Saccharomyces cerevisiae S288C: one gene and its partner. The protein of the gene in region 1 purifies or fractionates together with the protein of each later gene. This does not show direct contact. Each region holds a gene or a part of one and is shown in the gene's direction. Other genes may lie near its edges.

Region 1 (12,860 bases):
TGCTTATTACAAAGATGAAAGCACGAAACAAAAGTATGGGACTGGGATGTATAAGGTGAACGAACGGACATTCAGCGAGTACGTAAAAGACCCGGTAAGGTTCGGATTCAACGAAACATATGATATTGTAATCAACTCACTGGACCACATGAGACACCCATGGCATATGCATGGCCATCACTTCCAGATAATATCTCTTGGCAATAAAGGTGATGGCCCATTTCACAAAGACGTACAAGAGGGCAAGGCATGGAGCCGCTATCAGAACGATTTACGTCACCTGGCCCGAACCGGAAAGGCACCGATGGTAAGGGATAGCATTAACATTGCAGGAAATTCTTACGCGGTTTTGAGAATTAACACCGAGATGCCCGGAAAATGGCTTTTACATTGTCATGTGGAGTGGCACATGATGAAGGGGCTTGGCATTGTCTTTGAGGTTCCGACAACAACCGAGGACAGTACCAAACAAGCAACTACAGCTGTATTATCGTACCCTACCAAGGAACCTGACCCTAACACTGTTGTCCATACAGCCGCACTTGAACAAAATAAGTCCAAGGTAATAGCCGTCTACATCCTAATCATGTGTGCGGTTGATGCTATCTTCTACTGGTTGCTCATGTAATCACATCCATTTCTCCCAACTCATTGCTTTTTTTCGCTTTTCCCACAGCCGTTTACAAGGCCGCAAAAAAGAAAACCCGCAAAGCTGACGGAAAAAGTATCGGCTAGCTTTCCATTGGCGACAATCGCCTCCGAGTGCGAAAACCTGTATTTCTCTGACTGCCGTAGGTCATATAGGATTGGGTCATAACGGTTTTTTGGAGACGAATCCTTCCCCTAATCGTGTTGGATAACATTACGGATCCGTGTTTTAGCTAAAGGAACAAAACAAAAATAAATAAAGGATAAGAAGAAGGATTCACTGATAATTAAGAGCTGTATTTTTCATTGGTTCGGCAGTTAGAAACAGAGATAGCATCAGTTCGAGTGTTCTTTGATATAGTAAACAGCGTATATAGAAAAGAATAAAGTGTATTGAAAGGCTCAAGAGAATTATAGAGAAAAAAACGAAGGATAAATCAAAAAAAGCGGTGTCTGATACAGTGCTCAATAGAAATACAGTTGCAAAATGGACCTCCCAACTGTTAATAGCACAACAAGCATTTCCGACAATGTGGATTTAAAGAACTACTATGAGGACTTGCTTTTCAAGAATAACAGCGGAAAATCGCTATCCGATTTACCCCGTAAACTGAATGATAACTCCAATAATTCAGGAAGTGATACGGTTGATCCGCTTGCTGGCCTGAATAATTTGAGAAACTCAATAAAAAGTGCGGGAAATGGTATGGAAAACAGGAGGACTTTTGACGATATTGATTTTATGGGTAGGTTTCCGTATTTGCCACCAGTGCCAAATCAACAACAGCAACCGTTTTCTCACCAGAACGGGTTCATTCAAGAACACCCTTCCAGTAATTTGACCTCTTTTCAAATGTCTTCGTCTAATTCAGAGCCGATGTCCGCACCGCCCATTTCATCCAATAACAATAATTTAAACTCTACTCAAATGGGTAATTATCAAGCTCAACAACGGTCGTTCCCGCAATTTAATGGAAATTCATTTCATTCAAATGGAAACGACCTAATGGGGAATCGGATGGATTCAGACTACATGCGTTTAATGAATAAAACAAACATAGGTTTTACTTCCAATAGCGGCAGCAATTTTGCTGCCCCATCACACAGTGCTGGCAACCCATCTAGTATGAACAACCAACAAGTACCATCATTTAATTGGCAACAGCCATCTCATCCAGAGTCTACCATTAGGAGATCCTCCTACATATCAGATACTCTAATCAACCATCAAATGCCTGACGCTCGGCAAAAGCAAACATCCCAAGTGCAGCAGCAACACGCTCAAGGTTTCAATCTTTTCAATAGCAGATTCAACTATGACAACTTGAACTCAACCCATTTGACCGCCAAAGGTGTGCCCGAGTTTGGAAATGGTGTACAACCTCCGTATCCTTATGATAACGAGCCTAATAATGCCAGTATCAGCAATAGTAATAACAACAACAACAGTCACAATATGGTTCCAATGCAACAGTTTCGCCGGAATACACAACCGGTAGCGAGCTTCAATCCATCCCTTCCTACTTTTCAACAACAACAGCAACAACCACAACAACCACAACAACCAAGAAACGTTAATGTACCTACTTCTTTCAATGGCGAACGTGTTGATGATGTTCAGCTTGTTCAACTTCAAAGAAGCAGTTCTGTCCCTTCTTCTACAAACTCACATAACCTTCAGAACGAGAACAGCAATGAAGGAAATGTATCTTTGGACAATGGTTTAGTTTTAATTCAGGGTAAACACTTGACTTCGTCCAAAACCTTACACGATTTATACAGCGACTGTGGCAGCGGCTATTTTGCTAGCTCTGCAGTTTTTGAATTCACAGATAATATTAAGAAAATGCTGAAGTTGCACGATTCTAATGAAAGTTACGACGCGAAGAACATGGGCTTAATCGATGAAGAAGGTAATACATACCAATCTTTATTAAATTTCTTGGACATTTTAAGAAGTTGCAACATGAATTACGTTAATGATCCAGAGTCGAATAATGGAATTGTTTCCAATAATGGAGGCAATAAAAATAGGAGGAAGGGCTCTTTCACAACAGAACTATCATGCAGGAATGCTAATAACTCCTTTTTACCTTATACACCATTGGTACTGGTTGCTTTGAAAAATGGGAAACTTGAACTACTATCTACTCCACAAGCTACCAATTTGTTGTTAAAGAGAGGTGACTTGGTTATTATTGATGGTGACCGTGGAAGGGATTTAGTATTGGTTGTTGAGCCCTCTGTCGATTTGAATTTAGCATTATTTATAAATTTTCTGAAAAAGAAAATTCACTTTGACTCTTTAATTACAAGTGAGTCACAGCACTATCGCAATGATGAGTTTATTCAAATGTTGATTGACTCAAAAAATGGGCAAAAGAAAAAATTAAATCCCAAATTGTATGATGTTGTTGAATTAACTGAGTTAATCATACCATCTAAACAAGTCTTACGTTTTGCCACCCCGTGGGAGGTAACAACGAATTTGCACAATAAATTTGAAGATGAATTAAAAGCCTTGCATATTGCTCAGAGTAAATTACAAGCGTTAAATGATAATTCAAAATCTCAAAATACAAATGACAGTTCTTCCAATAATTTTACGAATGCTGCAACTTATTCAAAGCCTAAATTGAATATCAAGATTTTAAACGCAGAATTCCAATTTGATAGAAAGAAATTAACGTTTTACTACGTTTGTGAGGAGAGAAATGATTTTAGAGACTTGATAAAAGAGCTGTTCAAATATTACAAGACAAGAATTTGGTTGTGTGCCATCCCGAATAATCTGTCTATTGATTCTAAGTATTATGATAAACAACAAAAAGAGCTGAAATTATATCAAAACATAGTAAAAAATTACAATGCTGAAGATTTAATGAATGTCAATGAGTTTTCGCAGAACAGGGGGAATAACAGAGTTAATTTTGCACCTCCGTTGAACGAAATTGAACTCGACAACTTTCAGATTGCTGTGTATGAAGAATTAGTTCACGAATTATTTCATTAAATGATCTGTTATTTCCTTGTTGTAACTATAAATTTTCTAAAAGAAAAGACAACCATTTGCCATTATTTTGTTAACATTTTTTCATTGTTTTTGTTTTTGTTTGTTTTTGTTTTTGTTTTTATTTTTGTCTACTTTTTTTATGTTATTTTGTTTTATCGTTTCTGTTCGTTGTTTACCTATTTTCCTGCCAATTCAATTTGGTACTATCTTTCTATTATCAATATTTTCTTTCCCTTATGTTTTTTTCTATATGAAAACTTCACAGGGAGAAATAGAAGAAAATGTTCATTATTCTGTTTAACTTTGATAAAAATTACTTATACGTCTCCCAATCATGGTTTCATGGTCACTGGTAAGGAAAAATTCGAAAAACTACGGGACTAAAAATTTTTTAAAGATTGTCCATATTCCTCGATCCACACTTTCAAGTTTGAGATTTATTGTTGGCAACTTTCTTACATTTTTGTTGTTTCAACTTCTATTTTATATTCTAACAGCCGCTTCCATTTATTTTTCATAGGCTTTATATAAAAAACAAAAAATAATGGAATCAACCAACCCTTATAAACTTATATGTAGTTTACATTTAATCAAGGTCTGTTATCGTGGCTATTGCTCTAATTCATTATTTGTCGACATGTATTGGTTGATAATTTTTGTTTTGGTTCACGCGTAAGAATTTTTTTTCTTGTAGTTGCCACGTGAAACCTGACAACTTATAGTCTTTAAGGGAAGAAAGAAAGCCATTCTTTGAAGTGATTTTACTGCTTTCAAGAGTGAGAAACTCCTACATCAACGCCTAAGGAAACTCGTCATATTCTACCAAGGATGATCTCTGTCATGGCGGATGAGAAACATAAGGAGTATTTTAAGCTATACTACTTTCAGTACATGATAATTGGTCTATGTACGATATTATTCCTCTATTCGGAGATATCCCTGGTACCTAGGGGCCAAAACATCGAATTTAGTCTTGATGACCCCAGTATATCAAAACGTTATGTACCTAACGAACTCGTGGGCCCACTAGAATGTTTGATTTTGAGTGTTGGACTGAGTAACATGGTCGTCTTCTGGACCTGCATGTTTGACAAGGACTTACTGAAGAAGAATAGAGTAAAGAGACTAAGAGAGAGGCCGGACGGAATCTCGAACGATTTTCACTTCATGCATACTAGCATTCTATGTCTGATGCTGATTATAAGCATAAATGCTGCCCTAACAGGCGCCTTAAAGTTGATTATAGGAAACTTGAGGCCTGACTTTGTTGATAGATGTATACCTGACCTCCAAAAGATGAGTGATTCAGATTCTTTGGTTTTTGGCTTGGACATTTGCAAGCAGACTAACAAATGGATTCTATACGAAGGCTTAAAAAGCACTCCAAGCGGACATTCAAGTTTCATAGTCAGTACCATGGGCTTTACATATCTTTGGCAAAGGGTTTTCACCACACGCAATACAAGAAGTTGCATTTGGTGCCCTTTATTAGCTCTAGTAGTAATGGTTTCAAGGGTTATCGATCACAGACATCATTGGTACGATGTTGTCTCTGGAGCTGTTCTAGCATTTTTAGTCATTTATTGTTGCTGGAAATGGACATTTACAAACTTGGCGAAAAGAGACATACTTCCTTCACCGGTTAGTGTTTAGTAACACTTACAGAGTCCTATCAGGAAAGAATAAAAGCCGATCAAGCTTCATTCTCAGGTAACAACTGGAGCACTGGCGAGCTTTGCTCTATTATATAAGATAAAATATGCACTAAAAGTTTGCATTTCTTTACATAACTAAAACTAAGACATTATGCATAGCTTACCTGATCAAAAAGTATGTAAACTTGTTAACATCTTCACATGTGATTCATCTGGTCGTACTTTCTTGCGGTGCAGTGTAATATTTCTACCCACGTGACTATAATTGAGCTTGAAAACTGTGGCGTTTTTCCACCGATGGGTCCACGCCAGATATTAACCGAAGCCAAAATACCGATGAAATTTCTGAGATAGCTCTTGTAAACGACGTCAAATCTTCATATGCAAGGAGATCTTGATTTCTTTTTGGTAGTCATCTGTCGTCTTGAGGCGTATAAGAAGGAGGTTATATCTGTCCTTTCTACAAAGTATTTTCGAGAATCTTGCTTCTGCCCCTTTTTTCTTTTTTTAAAAGGTTTAAAAAACATAACTGTCTTCAATATATCCAGTATTTACGACAATATACAAACATAATCATGTCCAAGAGCAAAACTTTCTTATTTACCTCTGAATCCGTCGGTGAAGGTCACCCAGACAAGATTTGTGACCAAGTTTCTGATGCTATTTTGGACGCTTGTTTAGAACAAGATCCATTCTCCAAGGTTGCCTGTGAAACAGCTGCCAAAACTGGTATGATTATGGTTTTCGGTGAAATTACCACCAAAGCTAGACTTGACTACCAACAAATAGTAAGAGATACCATCAAGAAGATTGGTTATGACGATTCTGCCAAGGGTTTCGACTACAAGACATGTAATGTTTTAGTAGCTATCGAACAACAATCTCCAGATATCGCTCAAGGTCTGCACTATGAAAAGAGCTTAGAAGACTTAGGTGCTGGTGACCAAGGTATAATGTTTGGTTACGCTACAGACGAAACTCCAGAAGGGTTACCATTGACCATTCTTTTGGCTCACAAATTGAACATGGCTATGGCAGATGCTAGAAGAGATGGTTCTCTCCCATGGTTGAGACCAGACACAAAGACTCAAGTCACTGTCGAATACGAAGACGACAATGGTAGATGGGTTCCAAAGAGGATAGATACCGTTGTTATTTCTGCTCAACATGCTGATGAAATTTCCACCGCTGACTTGAGAACTCAACTTCAAAAAGATATTGTTGAAAAGGTCATACCAAAGGATATGTTAGACGAAAATACCAAATATTTCATCCAACCATCCGGTAGATTCGTCATCGGTGGTCCTCAAGGTGACGCTGGTTTGACCGGTAGAAAGATTATTGTCGACGCTTACGGTGGTGCCTCATCCGTCGGTGGTGGTGCCTTCTCCGGTAAGGACTATTCCAAGGTCGATCGTTCCGCTGCTTACGCTGCTAGATGGGTTGCCAAGTCTCTAGTTGCCGCTGGTTTGTGTAAGAGAGTCCAAGTCCAATTTTCATATGCTATTGGTATTGCTGAACCATTGTCTTTACATGTGGACACCTATGGTACAGCTACAAAATCAGATGACGAAATCATTGAAATTATTAAGAAGAACTTCGACTTGAGACCAGGTGTGTTAGTAAAGGAATTAGATTTGGCTAGACCAATTTACTTACCAACCGCTTCTTATGGTCACTTCACTAATCAAGAGTACTCATGGGAAAAACCAAAGAAATTGGAATTTTAAACATTTAGACAATAAATGTTTTATTTTGATTTTTATAATTATTTCAATCCCTTTCTTTATGCTAGGCTGGTCCCGATCACCTCCCTATATTGAGAAGACGATGCCTTATCGTTTGATTCGCTCAACTCGAGTCATGTAATTACTAGAAAATGATACAATAGAAAAGTTTTAAACATTCTTAAACTTGACAAACACCAATAGAATAACATCTAGGCATAATGATCTATTTTGTATGGATTATGTATTAGCTCCTTCAACGGAAATATATAGAAAATATTACTTTATGTTTTTAGAACTTTTTGACGAGTTTTACCAGTTTTTTTCATGATGCTCCACGTGGTAATATGACTATGCTATGGAAATAAGGTTGAAATATAGAATGTCTTTGAGGTTATTTGGTCGGCCTCTTCCAGAAATACTGTTTATGTTTCTTCCTGCACGACCTTAATCGGCTCCTGCCTTTTAACGAATTATACAAAATCTTTCTCTCGTCGCTATCATCGTTTTCAACATCATAGTAATACTCGTCTTCTAATGGCTTGCCAGACGCATCTTTTCCTTCACGCACAATAATACCAATGCAAGAAATAGTCTCCAAGACCTTTTTTAGTTCATCTTTGCTTAATTGTGAAGTGTTGGAATTGATGTTTTGCAATTGGGATAAAGGCGTTTGTTGAAGGTTAGAAAATGCAAGATGATTACATAGCACATGAACTAGGTCATCAAACCGAATTCCTCTTTCTGAGAGCGACCGAGAAATTTCGGGAATAATATTCAATGAAGTCTTAAGACGTTTTTGTGCAGGAGATACAATCGCGGTTGTAGAAGACAGCTCTTTAGTTTTTTTTGCAACTGCTGCGAAAGATTCTTCTTCATTAATGCCACCACTCCTAGTACTGGCACTTAATGTCCCAATTATTTTATCTTTAGGAAGTGGTGTCTCTTGTATAGTGTTATTTTTCAATGAAATTGATTTACGCTTCAGTTTCTTTGGAGTTGATGGCTGATTAATAACGAAAGATGTTTGGGGTGTTGTTCTATAACTAATGGGGGAGTTTTTCACAAGAGCAGGAGATGCAATAAGTAATGGTTTTGAGATCTGTTCTGTACGAGGTGAATGCTCAACTGGGACAAATTTCATCGAAGGTGTTTCTTTTTGCCAAGAAAAATCATCGCTCGTTGTTGTTAATAAACACAACTCATCCTCCGTTTCTGTCGAGTTCTCTTCGTCAAAGTTATTGTTGCCATCGCCAGGATAAGGTGCTACTTTTTTCAATGAAAGACAGACTGTGACGCCTGTAAAATTTATGAAACTTCCTTGGATATAGGGGAAAGTAACAGTTTCACCTTTAGCCAAAACAAAGCTGATGAAGTTTTGGTTCTTTTGAAGAGTTTTTCCATGCGATTGTTTAGTATTTTGCGAGGTCAAAGGCTCTTCTGCCACTAGTTTATAAAAGTTCCTTGTTGGGAAGGGTTTTACCAAATGCAACTGCATGGAGTAAGGCAAGTGAACGGACAACCCATTAGTTCCATTACATTCCAATTTTATTTCATTTCTGTCGGCGGCGTATGAAATAAAAGCGTGCTGCCTAGAGATATTCTTTCTGCATGGCAAAATAATGTTGCAGACTGATTTTTTCCTACCGATGGCTAAACGTGAGGGATCCGATGCATCTAATTCAATCTCGATAGGGCCTGCAAGCACCTTTTCTTGCTTTGAAGGAGATGACAAGGCAGATTTGGTCTCATTTAAACGTGAAGTGATATCTTTCACTGGTGAAGATTGTCTTCCGATGCTAGACGACGGGTCTGGAGTAGGATACTCTTCCAATTCGTAATTATACCGTTTTCTTCCTAAGGTCAATACAGAAGTATTAGCAAGCTTACCAGGTTCTTTTTGTGGGCTTTCCAAAGGTTTACCAGCAACTGGTGATGATGGTGGGAAGAGATGGGACATAACCAAAATTGTGACGATTTTGTCGTGAAACTTCTAGCGAAAAGACTAATGAAATCGGCAAATATTGTGTAAATAGTATACCAAAAAAAAAAACGCTTCTATATATTGTTCCCCGTTGCTAGTAACGATAGAAACGGCAAATAAGGAGAGAAATTAAACTTTCTTGGGAGAGGCAGAAGTGTTTACTTATTCTTCTGAAACAAAAACAAACGCGAAAAAAAAATTATCGCGTTTGGATTATCATTATTTAGACATTAACACCTGTACATATTTGTATTTTAAAAGCCGAACATTTTTGGGTTCTATATCAGTTTTTTTTTTCTTCAAGCACTCCGTACACCACTAATATTATCACTGAGAATCTTCCTGCCACTTGCGGGAAGGATGAGATTGGAAACATGGCTGGAATAGTAAGCATAGGTTACTATAGAAAGCGGTAACAAAAAGCACTACTATGTGTAGATAAAGAACAAAGAGGTAAACGAATATATAAGTAAAGATGGGTAGTATGTACAGGAATTATTAATTGATGAGTCAACGTTCAATCACATCCGGTCTGATTTAGAGGATTACATGAGAAAGAAGCACTGAAAAAATTTTCCACCAGGAGAGGCCAGGTAAACTAAGACCTACGTTATTCACTATGCCAAAAGATTTAAAAATATAGAATGATGAATGTTGCCAGAGCCATTGATGATAAGAAATTGCACATAACGGATGCATAAAGAGCGAATAAAAAGATTTGAGTGTCAATACAAAAAGGTGAGAAGAAATAGTGTAAGACAGCAACACACATCTAGACCGCCAATGAAGTTGTTCTGAATCCAGCAGTAGAGTTTATTTAGTTCAAAGTTTTACTAACGATAATTAACTTTTATGTTTTCATTTTAAACAGAGGGTACTCCTTCATTCGGTAAGCGTCACAACAAATCTCACACCTTGTGTAACAGATGTGGTCGTCGTTCTTTCCATGTTCAAAAGAAGACCTGTTCCTCTTGTGGTTACCCATCCGCTAAGACTAGATCTCACAACTGGGCTGCCAAGGCAAAGAGAAGACACACTACTGGTACCGGTAGAATGAGATATTTGAAGCATGTCTCCAGAAGATTTAAGAACGGTTTCCAAACCGGTTCTGCTAAGGCTACTTCTGCTTAAATTTGATATTATCTATAAGTTTTGTTCTTTCCTAAAACGAAAATAATATAAATTATATATAGTTAATATTAAGCATTACAAGGTTTCTATAAAGCGTTGACATTTTCCCCTTTTGATTGTTGCCTTACAGTCCCATTGAGATATATAATGAATCGGCCTCCTCTAGTGTGGTTAGATCGAATGATTTTGACTCAAGAATAGTTCTTGCCATTTCTTGAAATTTCTCATCGTACTTTACTTGCATTATTCTCCCCGTTCTTTTATTCAATTGCATCTTCAATTCTTCTTCGATATATTCTGGTAAATCCTCAAAGGCATCTTCGTAATAAGAGGCTTGATCCTTTATCGTCAGATCATGCAAACTATCTACAAGGTGTCGATGATCTCTCATTTCTCTTTCGTTTGCTGTCACAGTTTCGGTTTGGCATACGAGAAACCTCCATAGTGACATAATCAATTGGCTTTCTACCTGCTTGATTTGTTCTTCACGCAATTGTTTGAAATGGTCTTTCCATAGCCTATATATTATGGTTAAAGTATGTTCAATAAGATGGCATCTGAGGTCCAAGTTCGGGGAGTCTTGTCCCACGTACCTTTCTATCATTAACGCTTGCTCCCTGGATAAGAATTTAGAGGAGTGGATGAGCATTTCTCCATTTACTATGGTCGCATCGTCTCCATAGATCATTAATAAATTTTCAAAAATATTTAAAACTTCATCTTTTAACTTCAAAAGCCATTTTTCCATCTTGTAACCTATTATAGGGGCAGTGAATTTGTCGCTATCCATCCCAATATCCTCTTTAGAAATTACCCTTGGGACACTTTGCAATCGGTCAGTATAAATCAGCTTTGATATCAATCCTCCCAATTCATTATCACCTATATTTCGGATTAACCCAAAAAAGTCATGGTACTTCGACATATGAAGAGTTGTAGTATCCACATTTTCATTATATACGTCGCCACTCTTAATTTCCTTTTCCAAAAGAGCGTATAATCTTGTAATACAATCTCTCCACCAACTACCGCTTATCAAGGATTTCAGATCTGAGGAATTGTCCATATTTAATATTATACTAGTGATAATATTAACGACCTCGACTGCACTAAATATTACATTTACCATTGGCTTGTATGAAATGGTTAGTGCTAGTTTGTAGACAAATTCAAATGATTTTAGAATATTTTCATCAAAAAATTCCATATAAGTTTGCTTAGGATGCGACTGCAGTACCCTTAATATACCTTCTAGGAGATCAAAGGAATACGAAATTATCAAATAGTCTATCAGTTCATATTGGAAAATCTGAGGTTCTACATGCAAATTCATATTTGATTCATGTATCGGTACTTTCAATACATGATGATAGATTCTTATTAAATCGCAAATAAAAAGAAAACAATCCTTCAGTGCTAAATTATGAGTGGCACTAGGACGAAATTGTACAATCTGATACATCAATGCAACGAGAAATGGGACAGCTAATTTCGATTCATTTGGATGAACTGATATTTCCTTGATCAAAACAGCTATATCCTCTAGCAAAGTATCTATGAACCTGTCGAGGGTCAACGTCTTTTTACATCGCAAAAGTAGAGAAACTATGGACTTCCCTATGGGGGCTCCTTTAGCAATGACGAAATTCTTAAATTTAAACTCTGTGATGTAGTCAAGCTTCAATCTATTTAATATTTCTATTGTGCTCAGGTCAGCGCCTATTATTTGATGAAGTAATATTGACTCTAGAAATAAACTCGTTTCATCGGGAATAATCCTATTTGGGTTTAGGGGAACCATATTTTTTTTCAGTAAATTATCACTTATCTTACGTTTTTTTGATTGTGGTGATTGAGGTTTTGCTTCGATTGCAACTGAGGACGAATCTGGCGTTATAGTGTTTGTGTTTGTTGATAATGTTGTTGACGGTGGTTTTACATTCGTAATAACTTCCCTTTTCGATTTTCCTCTCGCTTCCATCTGTAAGAACTTCTTCTCATCTTCCAGTTTCTGTAATTCTTGTTTTAATTTAGCCAACTCTTGAAGATGCTTGACTTGCAATTCATTAACTTTGACGGCTTGAATATTCTTTTCCTTTTCCCTTTCAATGTTCAAAAAGTTTATTTTATCACGAAGCATGCTTGCTTCACCTTGAGCTTTATTCAGTTGGTTAACCAGTTGGTTATCATTTTTACTCTGTTTATTGTTTAATGTGGTCGTTGTAACCTCCAAAGTAGTGGGAATTTGTGTTTGTAATGCTGCTGATGATGGCGGTATTTGAGTAAACCTTGGAGGCCTGGTGCCTAATTCCAAAAGAATATCATCATCGTCATCTGAAGAAAATTCACCCACCGTTTCTCGTCTCATCTATAATAGAAATATGCAAAAGAGTTTGATGATTGTGTTGACGTTTCGTGCACTATCGCGTATTTGTTTGCTTTTTATTTTATTGCATGTGCTGTTTTCCCCAAAAAATCGATGGAACGCTCGGATTTGGCTAGAGGCGGGAAAAATCACCAATAATCGAAGAAAATAGAAGAACCAAGATACTAATAGCTCTTTGTAAGATAAATTTTGGAGTTACTACAGGTTACTATCCTTATTCAGAGACTTTTTACTGCTTTGCTCCTAATATTTAGTAGGAAAGAGCGAGCCTGTCTGACTCTTTTTTTTTTAAAAAAATTCAAGGTAAAACCTAACT
Region 2 (5,614 bases), on another chromosome or scaffold:
TCTCTTTTTTGACCAATAAATAATGAAGGTGTTTCATGTAGCATCGAAACTATGGTCAAACACTCTTCTAGTACACCTTGACATTGTTCGTGCGTAGCAGCTGTATAAAGCACTTTTGCAAATTCAGGTTCACAAGGAAACTCGCACATCATTTTACCTAACCGAGTGATTGTCCCTTTGCTATTTAAGGCACCTAAAATGTATAAATTTTCCAAAGACTTCCGTAATGTGGGGATACTGGGCTTATCCATCAGGGGAAACTTTATTAGGTCAGTAACGCCAAGCGATAATAATAATAACACCGTATTAGAAAGATTTGTTCTTGTGATCTCAGGCTTAGGCATAAGTTCCAACTCGTGCAAATATGACCATTTGGTAAAAATTCTAAAACATTTTCCCGGCCCAACACGACCAGCCCTACCGGCACGCTGATCAACTGAAGCTCTTGAGCATGGAACTGTTAAAAGTTGGGTCATTCCAGTGGAGGGTACGTACGAATTTTCCTTAACAAATCCAGGATCAATGACATATCTAATACCATCAATGGTCAATGAAGTTTCCGCAATATTAGTTGCCAAAACAACTTTCCTACAATTTTCCGGAGTCGGCTGGAAAATTTTCAATTGCTGCTCTTGGGGTAAATTTGCGTATATAGGAGTTATAATCATTTGTTTTGTTCTAGAACCTAATTTAGACATGATCTCCTCCAGTTTGGTTTTTGTTCTTTCAATTTCTTCTTGCCCCGTTAAAAACACCAATATATCCCCCGGTAAACTTTGCGTAGTATGAATTTGAAAAATAGTTGTTATAGCGGCATGTATATAGTTTGCCTCCGGCTGTAATGTGTAGTGGATATCTACAGGATATCTTCTCCCAGGAACGTTGAAAATGGGACAATTATCAAAAAACTCTGAAAATTTTTTTGCGTTCATTGTTGCTGATGATATAAGCAATTTTAAAGTGGGCCTCTGCGGCAAAATATCTTTCAGCAAACCTATCAGGATATCTGTGGCTAGAGTACGTTCATGAGCTTCATCAATCATAATACAAGAATATTTGCTTAATTTGGAATCTGTAAGAAATTCTCTTAGTAACATACCATCCGTCATATACTTTAGAACCGTTTTATTTGGGGTTGTTTTGTCTTCAAAACGGATCTGATAACCCACTTCCTTCCCAAGCACAACATTCATTTCATCTGCTACTCTTGCAGCAACAGAAGTGGCCGCCACACGACGTGGTTGTGTTATGGCAATCTGTAACTTTCCCTGATCAGTGAATCCATCTTCTACCAAATATTGGGGTAACTGTGTGGTTTTACCAGAACCGGTTTCACCCATTATAATCAAAACTTGATTTTTTTTGATCTCTTGTAGTAGCTCATCCTTGTATTGATGTACAGGCAAAAGTTTTCTTGCCTCTTGTATAGTCAGTATACGCTTTTCCTCAGTTTCTAAAGCTTGTGCTAGACGTGCCTCATATTGAAGTTTCTCTTCAGGTAGTAAATCGTCCTCCTCATTAGTATAATCAATCATTGCATCTGTGTCGAACACATAATCGTACTTGTCAGAGCCTTCCAATGTTATATCATCAGGGTGATCGCTTTGCCCCGCCATAGCATTTCGCAATTGTTGTTCTTCCCACATGCGTTGTCTGTTTATTTTGTCAATTTCTTTTGCATTCTTTATTTTATGAGTAACTTCTACGTTAAATTTAGAATTAGAAGAGGCGTACTTAGTTTCATTCTCGGAGTCACCTAGTAGACCCTTCTTTGTAGTAAGTTCATTATTTGACGTTATTTTTTCATCATACTTTGATGACTTTTTTTGTGATCCAAGTTGTTCTCCTTTTAAATTGTTCTTTTCTGGACCTTGGTTCGTATTAGAAAAAACTTTATTGGGGTCATAGCGTGATCGTTTTAGCTGCAAGGCAGAGTTCTTATCCTTGGCCTCTTTGTCTTCTTCCTCACCCAAGGAAGAAGGCTCTATTCTTACTGCATTGTCATTCTGTCTTGTAACTTCATACGTTCGTTTCACTCTTCGCTTACCGGTTTCAGATGTAATACTTGACATGTGTTGCTATACACGCTTGTTATCTATATAGATGCCAATTAAACATATAGCAGCTATCCGTTATTACTTATACAATTGATTAATATCACTTTTTAATTGTCCGGGTAACTAACTGTCTTCCACTTTCAGCACGTTCTCGTCATCAGGTTGTATGGGCTAGTACTGTTTTGGCTACATTTGAGATACGAGCACTTAAAGAATTCTTGCATATTTTCGATGATTAGTCTTTAATTTTCCCACTTGTTCTCACTATTTCCTCTATTGTCTTAATACGCTCACATATCGAAGTTTTTTTTTCATGCGATGAGCTTCGAGATGAAAAAAGGAAACTGAAAAATTTAGATCGATAAGATAAGAGATGTGATTTTTTTTTTTTTTCGTAAGGCTGTAGGCCTTGGATAACGTCTTATTTACTATTTATATGCGACATCTTCGATAATTTCATACGTTTAATTTCGAACTCGCATTTATTTTATTTATTATGTCCCATCGTATAGCACCTTCCAAAGAACGATCTTCATCATTTATTTCAATTTTAGACGATGAAACAAGAGACACATTGAAAGCTAATGCAGTCATGGATGGTGAAGTAGATGTCAAAAAAACAAAAGGAAAAAGCTCTCGGTATATCCCACCATGGACAACTCCATATATAATAGGTATAGGTGGTGCTTCAGGTTCAGGCAAGACAAGCGTTGCTGCTAAGATTGTGTCGTCAATTAATGTTCCCTGGACAGTATTAATATCTTTGGATAACTTTTACAATCCATTAGGCCCAGAGGACAGAGCCAGAGCCTTTAAAAATGAATACGATTTCGACGAGCCAAATGCCATCAACTTAGATTTGGCATATAAGTGCATTTTGAACTTAAAGGAGGGCAAAAGGACAAATATCCCAGTTTATAGCTTCGTCCACCACAATAGAGTTCCTGATAAAAATATAGTCATATACGGGGCCAGTGTGGTAGTTATCGAAGGGATCTACGCCCTTTACGATCGCCGATTGCTGGATTTGATGGACTTGAAAATTTATGTTGACGCTGATTTGGATGTCTGCTTAGCAAGAAGATTGTCGAGAGATATAGTTTCCAGAGGGAGAGATTTGGATGGTTGTATTCAACAATGGGAGAAATTTGTGAAACCAAATGCGGTAAAGTTTGTGAAACCAACAATGAAGAATGCAGATGCTATCATTCCATCGATGAGTGATAATGCTACAGCGGTAAATTTAATCATTAACCACATCAAGTCAAAACTGGAACTAAAATCAAATGAACACTTAAGAGAGCTAATCAAATTGGGCTCTTCTCCTTCACAAGATGTGCTTAATCGTAACATAATTCATGAATTGCCGCCCACCAACCAAGTTCTTTCGCTGCATACTATGCTTCTAAATAAAAATCTAAATTGCGCGGACTTTGTTTTCTACTTTGACAGGTTAGCAACAATTTTGTTATCATGGGCACTTGATGACATTCCTGTAGCACATACGAACATAATTACACCTGGTGAGCATACCATGGAAAACGTTATTGCCTGTCAATTCGATCAAGTTACAGCTGTTAATATTATTCGATCTGGCGATTGTTTTATGAAGTCTTTGAGAAAGACGATCCCCAATATCACAATTGGTAAATTGTTGATTCAGTCCGATTCACAAACTGGGGAACCTCAACTGCATTGCGAATTTTTACCCCCAAATATAGAAAAGTTTGGCAAGGTTTTCTTAATGGAAGGTCAAATCATAAGTGGTGCGGCCATGATCATGGCCATCCAGGTGCTTTTAGATCATGGTATTGATTTGGAAAAGATTAGCGTGGTGGTTTATTTGGCCACTGAAGTTGGTATCCGACGTATATTAAATGCATTTGATAACAAAGTCAACATTTTTGCTGGTATGATCATCTCCAGAGAAAAGTTACAAAATCATCAATACAAATGGGCATTGACCAGATTTTTTGATTCAAAGTATTTTGGTTGTGATTGAGAATAATTAGAGGCAATATAAAGTAAAATTAAATAATAGTGCACGTATACATACTATATTAGTAACCTTTCATTCTCTCTATGGATAATCTTAAAATCCCATTACTTTCAATATGCCATAACCTACTGTAACAATAGCGGCATAACTTAACAAACTGGCTGGTACACCTCTCGTAATAAATGTACCCACGGTCAAATATCTATCACCAACTTCATCAATCATTGAAATGGCAGTCACGTTGGGGAAACCAGAGGTTGGAAGACCCATAGCACTAGAGCATAATAGGGCGGCTATAACGATCAATAGTCTAGAATGATCACCTGAAGGTAGATTGGAACCGATCTCACTCATTAATGGTACGATGATCATTGCCGCGACGGTATGGGAGACAAAAGTGGCCATTACAAGAATCACTAGACCGAAGATCAACACAATAATGAAGATTGGTTCATGCTCAACCTGCGCCTTAATTAACTGTGCCATTGTAGACAATAAACCGGATGAGCTTACCGCCTTACCTAGGGTGGTACCTCCCATGGCCAAAACAACGATTGTCCACATGAAATTATTGAAATCATCCGAAGTTAGAAGACCTGTACCGAAGAAGACTACTATAGGTATAATAGATATGATTCCCATTTCACCAAAGATACCGGAGATTTGGTTTGAAAGACACCAAAGAACAATTGTTATAATGCAAACTAAAGTGACAAACCATTGCTTCAGAGTGAATGGATCACGGGATGGATGCAATTGCAAAATTTTCACATTTGGCTCAGGAGGGAAGGTTATGATCAATAGCACCCAAATTGCCATGACACAAATAAAGCACACAGGTAGCGCAATCATAAACCATTCAGCCCAAGATGGTGAAGGGTCCATTATACCAATAGAAAAAATGTTTTGAGGAGAAGCGATGGGAGAAGACATACCACCGATATTGGAGGCAAGAGCGATACCAAGAATTAGAGCTTTGGCATAGGAACAATTTCTTGGCAGTGTTCTGAGCAAAGGTTGAACAATTGAATAGCAAAGAACGGGGGCAGCAACATTAGAAACCCACATGGAAACAAAGAGCGCCACAAACATATTTGTTAAAAGAATAAAATGTGGGTTTGTACCGGCGGATGCCAAAATATGCGTAGAAAGGACTTTGGCAATGTTGTACTTGGAAAGGGCGGCTGCTAAAGTAAACCCACCCAGCAAAAGCATGATGACACTCGACCACATCGTTGATAAGATGAACTGAGAGGAATCACGGGGAGACATTGGTTGGGAGGTGATAGGGTCCTTGATAACAGGGAACACTACAATAAGCAGAGGAATCATTAGAGAAGTCACGAAAAGGGGGATGGTCTCAGTGGCCCATAATAAAGATGCATATATTAAGATGGCGAAACAGTTTTTCTGTAAGGAATCCTGCGTAAAAGGAGTCAAATTAAAAGTTAATAATGCAATGAAACATGAGGTGATTAACAGAAACTTCAGCAGGGAAGTTTGGCCCATGATAAATTGCAACCATTGCTTGGGTGGTAAATGCATGAGTTCACGGAAA

The links.
Region 2: the proteins of SAM2 (region 1) and URK1 purify together in Saccharomyces cerevisiae (affinity purification with mass spectrometry, with the first as the bait; one large-scale study listed by BioGRID). This does not show direct contact.

Annotation. Positions count from the first base shown.
Region 1 is NC_001136.10:1,447,496-1,460,355, reverse strand, and holds SAM2 (methionine adenosyltransferase SAM2), read left to right. Parts: upstream 1-5,891; coding exon 5,892-7,046; downstream 7,047-12,860. Other genes in the region: GMC1 (putative oxidoreductase), read left to right, coding at 1-628; PSP1 (Psp1p), read left to right, coding at 1,136-3,661; SPG3 (Spg3p), read left to right, coding at 3,662-4,045; phosphatidate phosphatase LPP1, read left to right, coding at 4,490-5,314; PLM2 (Plm2p), read right to left, coding at 7,438-9,003; 60S ribosomal protein eL37 RPL37B, read left to right, coding at 9,503-9,509, 9,899-10,158; LCD1 (Lcd1p), read right to left, coding at 10,283-12,526. UniProt on the Saccharomyces cerevisiae protein: Catalyzes the formation of S-adenosylmethionine from methionine and ATP. The reaction comprises two steps that are both catalyzed by the same enzyme: formation of S-adenosylmethionine (AdoMet) and triphosphate, and subsequent hydrolysis of the triphosphate.
Region 2 is NC_001146.8:644,879-650,492, forward strand, and holds URK1 (uridine kinase URK1), read left to right. Parts: upstream 1-2,553; coding exon 2,554-4,059; downstream 4,060-5,614. Other genes in the region: DEAH-box RNA-dependent ATPase PRP2, read right to left, coding at 1-2,072; PHO91 (Pho91p), read right to left, coding at 4,150-5,614. UniProt on the Saccharomyces cerevisiae protein: Catalyzes the conversion of uridine into UMP and cytidine into CMP in the pyrimidine salvage pathway.